2 linked regions of the Neurospora crassa OR74A genome follow. The protein of the gene in region 1 interacts with the protein of each later gene in a pairwise test. Links are inferred from orthologs where the notes say so. Each region holds a gene or a part of one and is shown on either strand. Other genes may lie near its edges.

Region 1 (3,684 bases):
GTTTTGGGTGTTTTGCCGGCAAAAAAAAAGTCGGGGCATCAAATTTGTAAACAAACCTGGAACAGGGGAGCGAGCGAGGAGCGAGCCGCCCACAACCTAACCATAGTCGCGTTCCCGCCCACCGGCCGGATCCCCGTTGTTGTGCTCGTCCCAGCCAACTCTTAGTTCGCTTCTTGCTTTTCAATCCTTTTTCACCGCACCCCACAAAACTTAGATAATTTGTTGCAATATGATCAAAAAAAAAAAAAAGTGTTTGCGAATTTCGTTCGTCGTAGCAATAGGGTATCCCTCGTGATATATTTCAGATACAATGAAGCGATTGAAGCCGCCTTCTCGCCTCTGGACTCAGCATCACTACCAGACCGCCAGATCATCGCTTCAAGGTCCTTCGCTCCAAACTTCGTATTCATCAAACCAAATTCTCGGCTTTTTCAGAACTACACTGCGAAATCGTCAGGTAGCCATGTCAAACTAAAAGGGCAAAGCGCTTGCTCAGGGTATTTGAAGAAGAAAAAGTGGTATCGTTCCAAGACGGATTATATATGCAATGCAGTATCCAAGATAAGGCTTTTTGGTGTATGTCCTTCGCTTCTTGAGACACCCTCGAAGCCGCCGGTCGCCCGTTTCCCATTTCCCAATCATCCATAGGTTGTAGCCCAAACCTACCCTCCGTTGCGTTTCAGCACAAACGATCCAAACCTCCTCAATCCCCATGAGTGATGTGTGAATCCAAGATACATGAAAGCCAGAAACAAGAAGCTACCCCCCGCGCGCGCTGTGGCGATGTTGTGAAAAAGAGCAAAACGCGTTGACTTGTAGACCAATGAAAACCCCCCCTTATGTTGATAAGTGTTCCCAAGCAATATGATTCCCCAAACGCCTTTCGAGTAAGCCCGTCACATCGCAAGTGGTGGTGAAAAAATGACTAAAGACATCATGAGAAGAGACCGAGGCGCAAAAAAAGAGACAAAAACATCATCCCAAAGGAACGAGTTTATGCCTTCTCGGCAGCGGGCTCGGCCTTCTCGGCCTTCTTGCTGGCGGCAGCCTTCTTGGGAGCAGCGGCCTTCTTGGCGGCAGCAGGCTTAGCGGTGCTCTTGGCGACACGGCCAGACTTGGTCTTGGTGAGGACGGTCTCCTTGTCGGCAACGGCAGGAGCAGCGGCCTTCTTCTTGGGGGCAGCCGCCTTCTTCTCCTTGACCTCCTTCTTGGGAGCAGCAGCCTTCTTGGGGGCAGCCGCCTTCTTGGCAGCAGGAGCCTTCTTCTCCTTGGTCTCCTTCTTGGCGGCACCCTCCTTCTTAGCGGCAGCGGGCTTCTTCTCCTTGGTCTCCTTCTTGGGAGCAGCCTTCTTGGGAGCAGGCTTAGCGACCTTCTTGGCAAGCTTGGTGCCACCGGAAGGACCTATATCGTGTGTGAGCATGCAAAGAGTAATACAAGGAGATGATGCGTCATGTGGGTGGTGACATACCCTTGGGCTGCTCAAAGACACCCTTGTCGACACCGTTCTTCAAGGCCTTGTTGAAGAGCGAGTCGAACATGTTGTCGGTGACGTTGCCGAGCGTGTTGTTGGCACGGACATACTTCTTGAGAGCTTGACGGCTGTGGTGTGCGTTAGCAACATGTTGTGATCCTTCATCGCGTCATGGAAATAAGAATGAAAGTGGTCATCGGTGCGACCGTAGGAAGGGCCCGCAAGGTTTGCGGTGTGGCTTGGCAAAGCCCTGGTGAAAAAATGAGAAAAGTAAGCAGAAAAATGGCACATACCTAGATCCAGCGCGGTCCTTGAGCTGTAGCATGACAAAAAGAAGGAATCAGCACGACTGAGGGACAGTAAAAGGGTGGTGAGTGGTGTGGGTGACTCTTGGTTGCGTGCATCATGAGAGCAATTGTCTCATTTTGCTCACCGACCAGAGAAGCGCCCACAACCAAAACACGCCACAACAAAGATAATGAGGGGGTTTAAATACCGCAACAATAGCGTCCGTGATCATGTCCTGTTTGAATGTTAGCAAAAGATGCGTTTCTCTTGGGGATTAAGTAAAGCTTACAAGGTAAGAGGCATGGGTGCTGGGGCTCTTGGTCTTGGGAGCAGAGGTGGGAGCAGCGGCGGGAGCAGGAGCGGCGGCGGCAGAGGCATCGGCGGCCTTGGTCTCGGTCTTCTTGGGAGGCATGGTGATGGATGTGGTTGTGGTTTTAGGGCTGGAGGCTGAGGATATCTTGCTGAAGATACAACTGGATGAAAGGGGCGTGCAAAAGGTTCAGTTGAGGTTGGATCGTGGACTGGGAAACAAAGGACGAGAGGAGGATGGGTGGGCTCAGTCGCGCTCGAGGGGGGAAGATTGGGTGTTTATATACGGAGGCGGGGTCTCCTGGCGCGACCGAGTGATTTCGCTGATTCTTCCCTGCCCCTGCCCCGACGGACCTCCCGTCTCCCCCTGCGACCTGGGGGGGGGGGCCTCTGTGACCTCCTGGAAGCCGCTACCCCCAGCCCATTTCCCGGGGATATGTGGCCCGTGCACCCCACTAACACACGCTGAAAGAACGAAAGAAGCCGGCCAGTGGCCCCGATTCCTGTTCCCTCGTTCCATGTCAACACGATGTGGAAGCTGGGGCTCCGGACCTTTTCCTTTTCGCTTGTCTCATGAAGGAAGGGGAAGAGACCTCGAGAGCATCGATGCTTCGTTGTGTGGTTGTCGATGAGATTTCCCGTCCCTACAGTAGGTACCTATCCTCTCGGTCGCCATCCCCATCCCCTTCTCCTTCCCCTTCCCCCTCCTCCCTCTCCCTCTCCCCCCCCCTCCCCTTGTCTTCCCGTTTCCATGGACTCGGCTGGAGATGCAGTGGTGCTGTCCCATGTCCCATCGATCCCACTTGTTCTTCTTTTTTTTTTTCCCTTTCCCTTTTCCTCTTCCGTTTCTCCTCTTTTTAGAAACCGATTGGGGTCCAGGGGAGTGCGGATGCCGATGGATGTCCATTCCAGATGGAGTCTGGTCCGGACAGATTGGATGATCCAAGGTGGGACACGGCATCATTCACTGGCCCCAAAAGAAGCATGTTCTGCCGCCCGTCACCTCTCCTCGTCGACTCGCAGGTTATCAGTGTGCCTGTGTGTGTGAGGTGGCATGGCATGTCGCATATCGGTCGGTCGGTCGGCATGGCTGGCTGGCTGGCTGGGTTGGCACAATCGAAGCCGCAGGGCATCAATCCATCCATCCCGCATCCCATCTCTCAGATTCAGTCGGTATCTCGCCCATCCCATCATCTTCTATTTATCTATTTATCTCTCTTCTTCAACAAGAAAGCAACGTCAACCAACAGGATGAATCATTGCATGGCTACACTACCTCATGCTTCCGACGACTCGACAGCAATTTGTTACTCACCATTGTTTCACTCAAGCCCCGGATGGCTGCCCGATTGCTTATTTATCAACAACAGATCCCAATGGATCATGATACATAGCAGATGCGGACCTGCTTTTAAAAAGTCGACTCCGAGTCGCTTAGACTGCTACTGACCTTGCAAATAGAAACAGAGAACAGTCCGTCTTACCTATTACACAAGCGGACGGATTCACCCCCCAGCTTGCGACACCTCGCAGCCTGGCGCTGGCGCACTCTTTCTCCTCATTTCACCAGACACCACATGGCCGGCACTACACCATCACACTCGACGAAAAAAGGG
Region 2 (4,212 bases), on another chromosome or scaffold:
ACCTGCAACCAGTACCAACCGACACGTTCATTTAACGTGTCCTGATGTTTTCCTCGCTAAGCCCTCATGGCCGAGTCGTACTATAAAAAAAACGATAAAGAAGATTCATGTTGTTACAGATATCGTAAAAGAGCTGCTGTCGCACGCCGCGCCGTGACGAGGGGAGATTGCTCGCCGTTCCCAGTGTGTGGTGCACTCCAAGATGACATTATACAGTGAATGGTCTCCCTGCTCATCGCCACCCAAGCGGCTTCCACGTCTGGATGATACAGAACGCTTCGCTTTTCGTGTGTGTTCCGAACGCACCACTCTGCTGGAAGTGTCGCAAGGGAAGTTCGCCGTCGTCTATGCGCTGCGCTTGTTGCCGTCGCAGACACCGGGAGTGCTCGGCTTTTTCAAGCCATGGTTCGGTGGGCCCCAAGCCCGTGTGCGTATCCCAACAACAAATAATAGGAAGAAAATACCCAACAATACAGCGGCGTTAGTGTTGGATTAGCGAAGACAATCCCCAACCCCCCCGGCATCACCCCGTGACATCCCTTGAACAAGCCGATTGCTGTCCTGCCCGTCAGCCCGGAGCGGGGCTAGAGAGATGCAAGACAGTGTGCGAAACGTGTGCGACGTCGAGTTTTTCGGTGCAGTTGTGGACTTAAGCCTCCTGAGCCTTGGCCTTCTTCTTCTGCTCTACCTTGAGCAGAAGGGCGCGGTTAATGTGGGGGAGGACACCACCGAAGGCGATAGTGGCGCGGATGAGGGTATCAAGCTCCTCATCTCCACGGATGGCAAGCTGAAGATGGCGGGGAGTAATACGCTTGACCTTCAGGTCCTTGGCAGCGTTCTATACAACGGAAATCATTGAGTTAGCCATAAAGCAGGTAAAACTTGGAAATGGGAGCCTCCTCGTCGCCAAGCAATATGGCCGAGCGGATGGGGTATGAATGACTTACACCCGCAAGTTCGAGGACTTCAGCAGTCAAATATTCCAGCACGGCAGTAACATAGACGGCAGCCTTGGCGCCAACGCGCATCTTGTTTTGGGTGTTCTGCTTCAGGAAACGCTTGACACGACCGCAAGGGAACTAATTAGATTCAAGTCAGCATGGCGCATCAGACACACGGCAAACTCCAGAGGACGGAAATGCACGCCGCAGCTCCGCCTCGTTGTCAGAGCGAGAAATCCAAAGTTAGGGACCGGAACAAGGTCCGGGTGCGGGGCCAGGGCGAGAGAAGGATGCACAGAACAACGCGTCCATATGAAGCCGAAATAGTATCGCGTACGGGGCGCAATGGGGGTTTTTTTCTTTTACCCAGCGGCGGGGTTGTGTGCGACCGACGTGTGAGGCAGCGAGTTCGCGTTCTTCGTAGGTTGGCACTATGGGGTTGTCCGGAAATGTAGGGGGCTCGGTGGACGCGTTGTGGTGTATCGGCGTGATTCCATCGACATCTGACGACAGGGATGGCGGATGCGAGCAAAAAAAAAGTTGGTTGATGAGACGACGTCGATGGTGCAGATCGGAGCAGGAATTGAAAGCGGACAGAGCCATGAAGCTCGTCAACTATAAAAACGTACCTGAAGACCAGCGCGAGCAGAATGGCTCTGCTGCTTCTTGGGACCTTCGACGCCCGAGGTCTTTCCACCCGAGCTCTTGCCGCCAGACGACTTGCCCTTTCCGCCAGCCATTGTGTTTGTTTGTTTGTTTGAAGGGATTGAACGGGGTGGGATGGTTGTGCGCGGGATGGGCGGATGGACGTAGTGTCGAGAATAAAACCGGTGGTCGTGACGATGCTGGATGTTGATATTGACGGGGCAACGGCGCGGGATTTGCGTGGAACTGGTGGAAGTGGATGAAGCGGGGTTGGCGGATGGAAAAGTGGTGTTTTGGCCGGAAGGATGATCGCGACGAGGTTTGGTGTTGAAGTTGGCGCCAGGAGACGCTCGAAAATTCAGAAGGGCCGAAGATGCATGCCACTGATGGGCCCTTTGATGTTGTGTCCTTCCAGGTGATTGCCCGCCGTGTTTGAGCGCAACCGCGCCTGAGACATGCGTCCGTACAGGAGGGAAGGTGCCGACGTCCAAGCTAAGCGAAGGGATGGAAGCTCGAGCTCAGTCAGCTAACAGCCAGCTCCCGTGGGTGCTTTGCTTGCCGTGTGTGCTGATTTGTCGCTGTTGCTGATTTTTTTTTTTTTTTTTTTTTTTTTTTTTTTTCCTCCTCCGCAGAGGGAGGGTAGGTAGGTTAGTGTAGGTAGGTAGGTAGGTACCTTGGGGTAACCTTGGGTACGGCGAGCCAAGCAGACCACTTGACCAATTCGAAGGGAGCTCCGAGGCTTGGCAATATCATGAAGCTCCAGGCAAAGGCCCAGCCAGCAAGGCCTCGAGCCAGCCATGACGACCCAGTGAGGTCCATCTCGAGACAGATAGCCAGACCTCAACTCAGCCTCGCAAGGGCCGTGGCTGACACGGTCTTGCAGAGAACCTTGCCGACATCTCCGCAATGAACGGCCCAAGAAAAGGCCTCCCAGGACAAGTCCATGTGATGCAAGGGGAGTCGCATACCTCACTGTTGCCCGACGTTGAGAGCACCTTTCTGGTTTGAAGCCATGCAGAGATCCGCGACGGGCACTGTCCGGGCCGGCCACCCAGCTGGTTAAGGCGGGCCAAAAGCCGTCAGAGTCTTTGGCAATGAAGGCCTGAGCATCTTCACAGCAGATTTGCACGCTTTTCCGAGGCTGGCGTGGTGTTGCAGAGTGTCTTGAAATGTTGCTCAGATAGTGTGATTCGGAGCCTTGGGTGAGCCTTTGCCAATCTGCCGCTGGTTGTTGTGGTCCGTGACCTTACTCCAAAAACTCGTCGCAGCCGTGCCAAGCTTTCACGTTACGACATTTCAACTGGCGCAGTGTCTGCCAGCTGTCTGCGCTTGAGCAGACCGAGCTGTCTGTTTTCAGTGGTGACTGAGGTTCAATTCACAACGAACTATGTAAGCTCCCAACATGAACGCTTCAAACAACGTAAATCGTGCAAAGATGCACACAGTAATTGTGTGCCTTCTTCACCACTCTTCAATTCCCTCTCGCAATCCTCGCCAACCTCTCAGCCTCACATCTCCGTCTTTCCACTCTCTGCAATACCTCCAGCCTATGACGGTCGTTGCTGATCGGGTCCTGATGCCCCGAAACCCGATCCGATACTTGGGTGGTAGTGTCGTGGATGTATCTGTTCATCATGGAGCCGTACTCTCTTCTTCTGGTGACACAAGATGCATTAGATAACTACTTTTGCCATTCCGCCTGTAATATGGAAGCCTTTGGATTATGTTTGTAGCTCAACAGCCAACTACCAAAGGGATGCCGACGTACGACGGGATTCTAGGATTGGGAAAAAGATAAAAAGAAACCATGGCAAGACCCACTTCGGAGCTTGGGCCGGTGCGGGTAGATCCCCGGCTCCCGATGTGGGGCCGACCGCCGCGCCATTTGAGCCATTGCCGCTACCGGTGTTGCCAGCACCGCCGCTGTAATATGTGCTCATGATGAAATGTACTATCCGACTGTCGTATATAGTGTACGCTACTCCAGCGGGAAACTCAGTAGGTAAAGATGATGGATAGAGGTAGCATGGTAAGTAAGGTGGTGTGCATAGGTCTACTTCGAGGAAAGAAAAAAAGACTTTGTTCTCAGGCAGCGAGGAAGAGCACTTTATATCTTCTTACATGTAGGTGTTCATCCTCCAAGATGATCATCAAATCGTACTCGTAATCCCTGGAACTTATGGCAACGTGCCTGCTCTCACCAACCTCTGTGACCGTTGCTTGTCATGAGGCAGAACACTCGCCTCGATCTGGCTGTGAGCCCATGTTAATGCCCGCGCTGGGCGGGTTGAAAGCAGCAACAACCCAACAGAATAAGAAAAAACCGAAGGGATTGAGGCGATGACGATTCAAGACAAAGTGAGTGAACTGAATAGAACTGATTCGTCAGATAGTCATATGGAAGCCATCGGCACTCGGGACTCCGTGGTATACCGTGGTATAATAGGCGTGAAGGGTGAAGCTTCCGCGCGATGCCTAGCAGACAGCCCTAGGCTCCATTCCACCCCTGTAACCGAAAAACCGCTGCGGGTGGAGTGAAGCATGTGACATAATAGATAGGATAGAAGAGAAAATGCGCAGTGGAATCGAGGACTGGTGGGTGTCACCCCTGCTCAGAGCGAAGTGA

What was found. The genes of interacting proteins can lie anywhere in the genome.
Region 2: the proteins of hH1 (region 1) and hH2Az interact in binary tests that used the Saccharomyces cerevisiae proteins (3 or more experiments, as listed by UniProt). The link is inferred for Neurospora crassa OR74A from reciprocal best matches to the Saccharomyces cerevisiae genes HHO1 and HTZ1.

The regions. Positions count from the first base shown.
Region 1 is NC_026507.1:545,801-549,484, forward strand, and holds hH1 (histone H1), read right to left. Parts: upstream 2,367-3,684; 5' UTR 2,172-2,366; coding exon 2,049-2,171; intron 1,995-2,048; coding exon 1,968-1,994; exon of another isoform or gene 1,797-1,967; coding exon of another isoform or gene 1,788-1,796; coding exon 1,765-1,787; intron 1,600-1,764; coding exon 1,469-1,599; intron 1,402-1,468; coding exon 995-1,401; 3' UTR 501-994; downstream 1-500.
Region 2 is NC_026502.1:1,390,024-1,394,235, forward strand, and holds the start of hH2Az (histone H2A.Z), read right to left. Parts: upstream 2,801-4,212; 5' UTR 1,682-2,800; coding exon 1,571-1,681; intron 1,080-1,570; coding exon 948-1,079; intron 839-947; coding exon 650-838; 3' UTR 1-649. UniProt on the Saccharomyces cerevisiae protein: Variant histone H2A which can replace H2A in some nucleosomes. Nucleosomes wrap and compact DNA into chromatin, limiting DNA accessibility to the cellular machineries which require DNA as a template.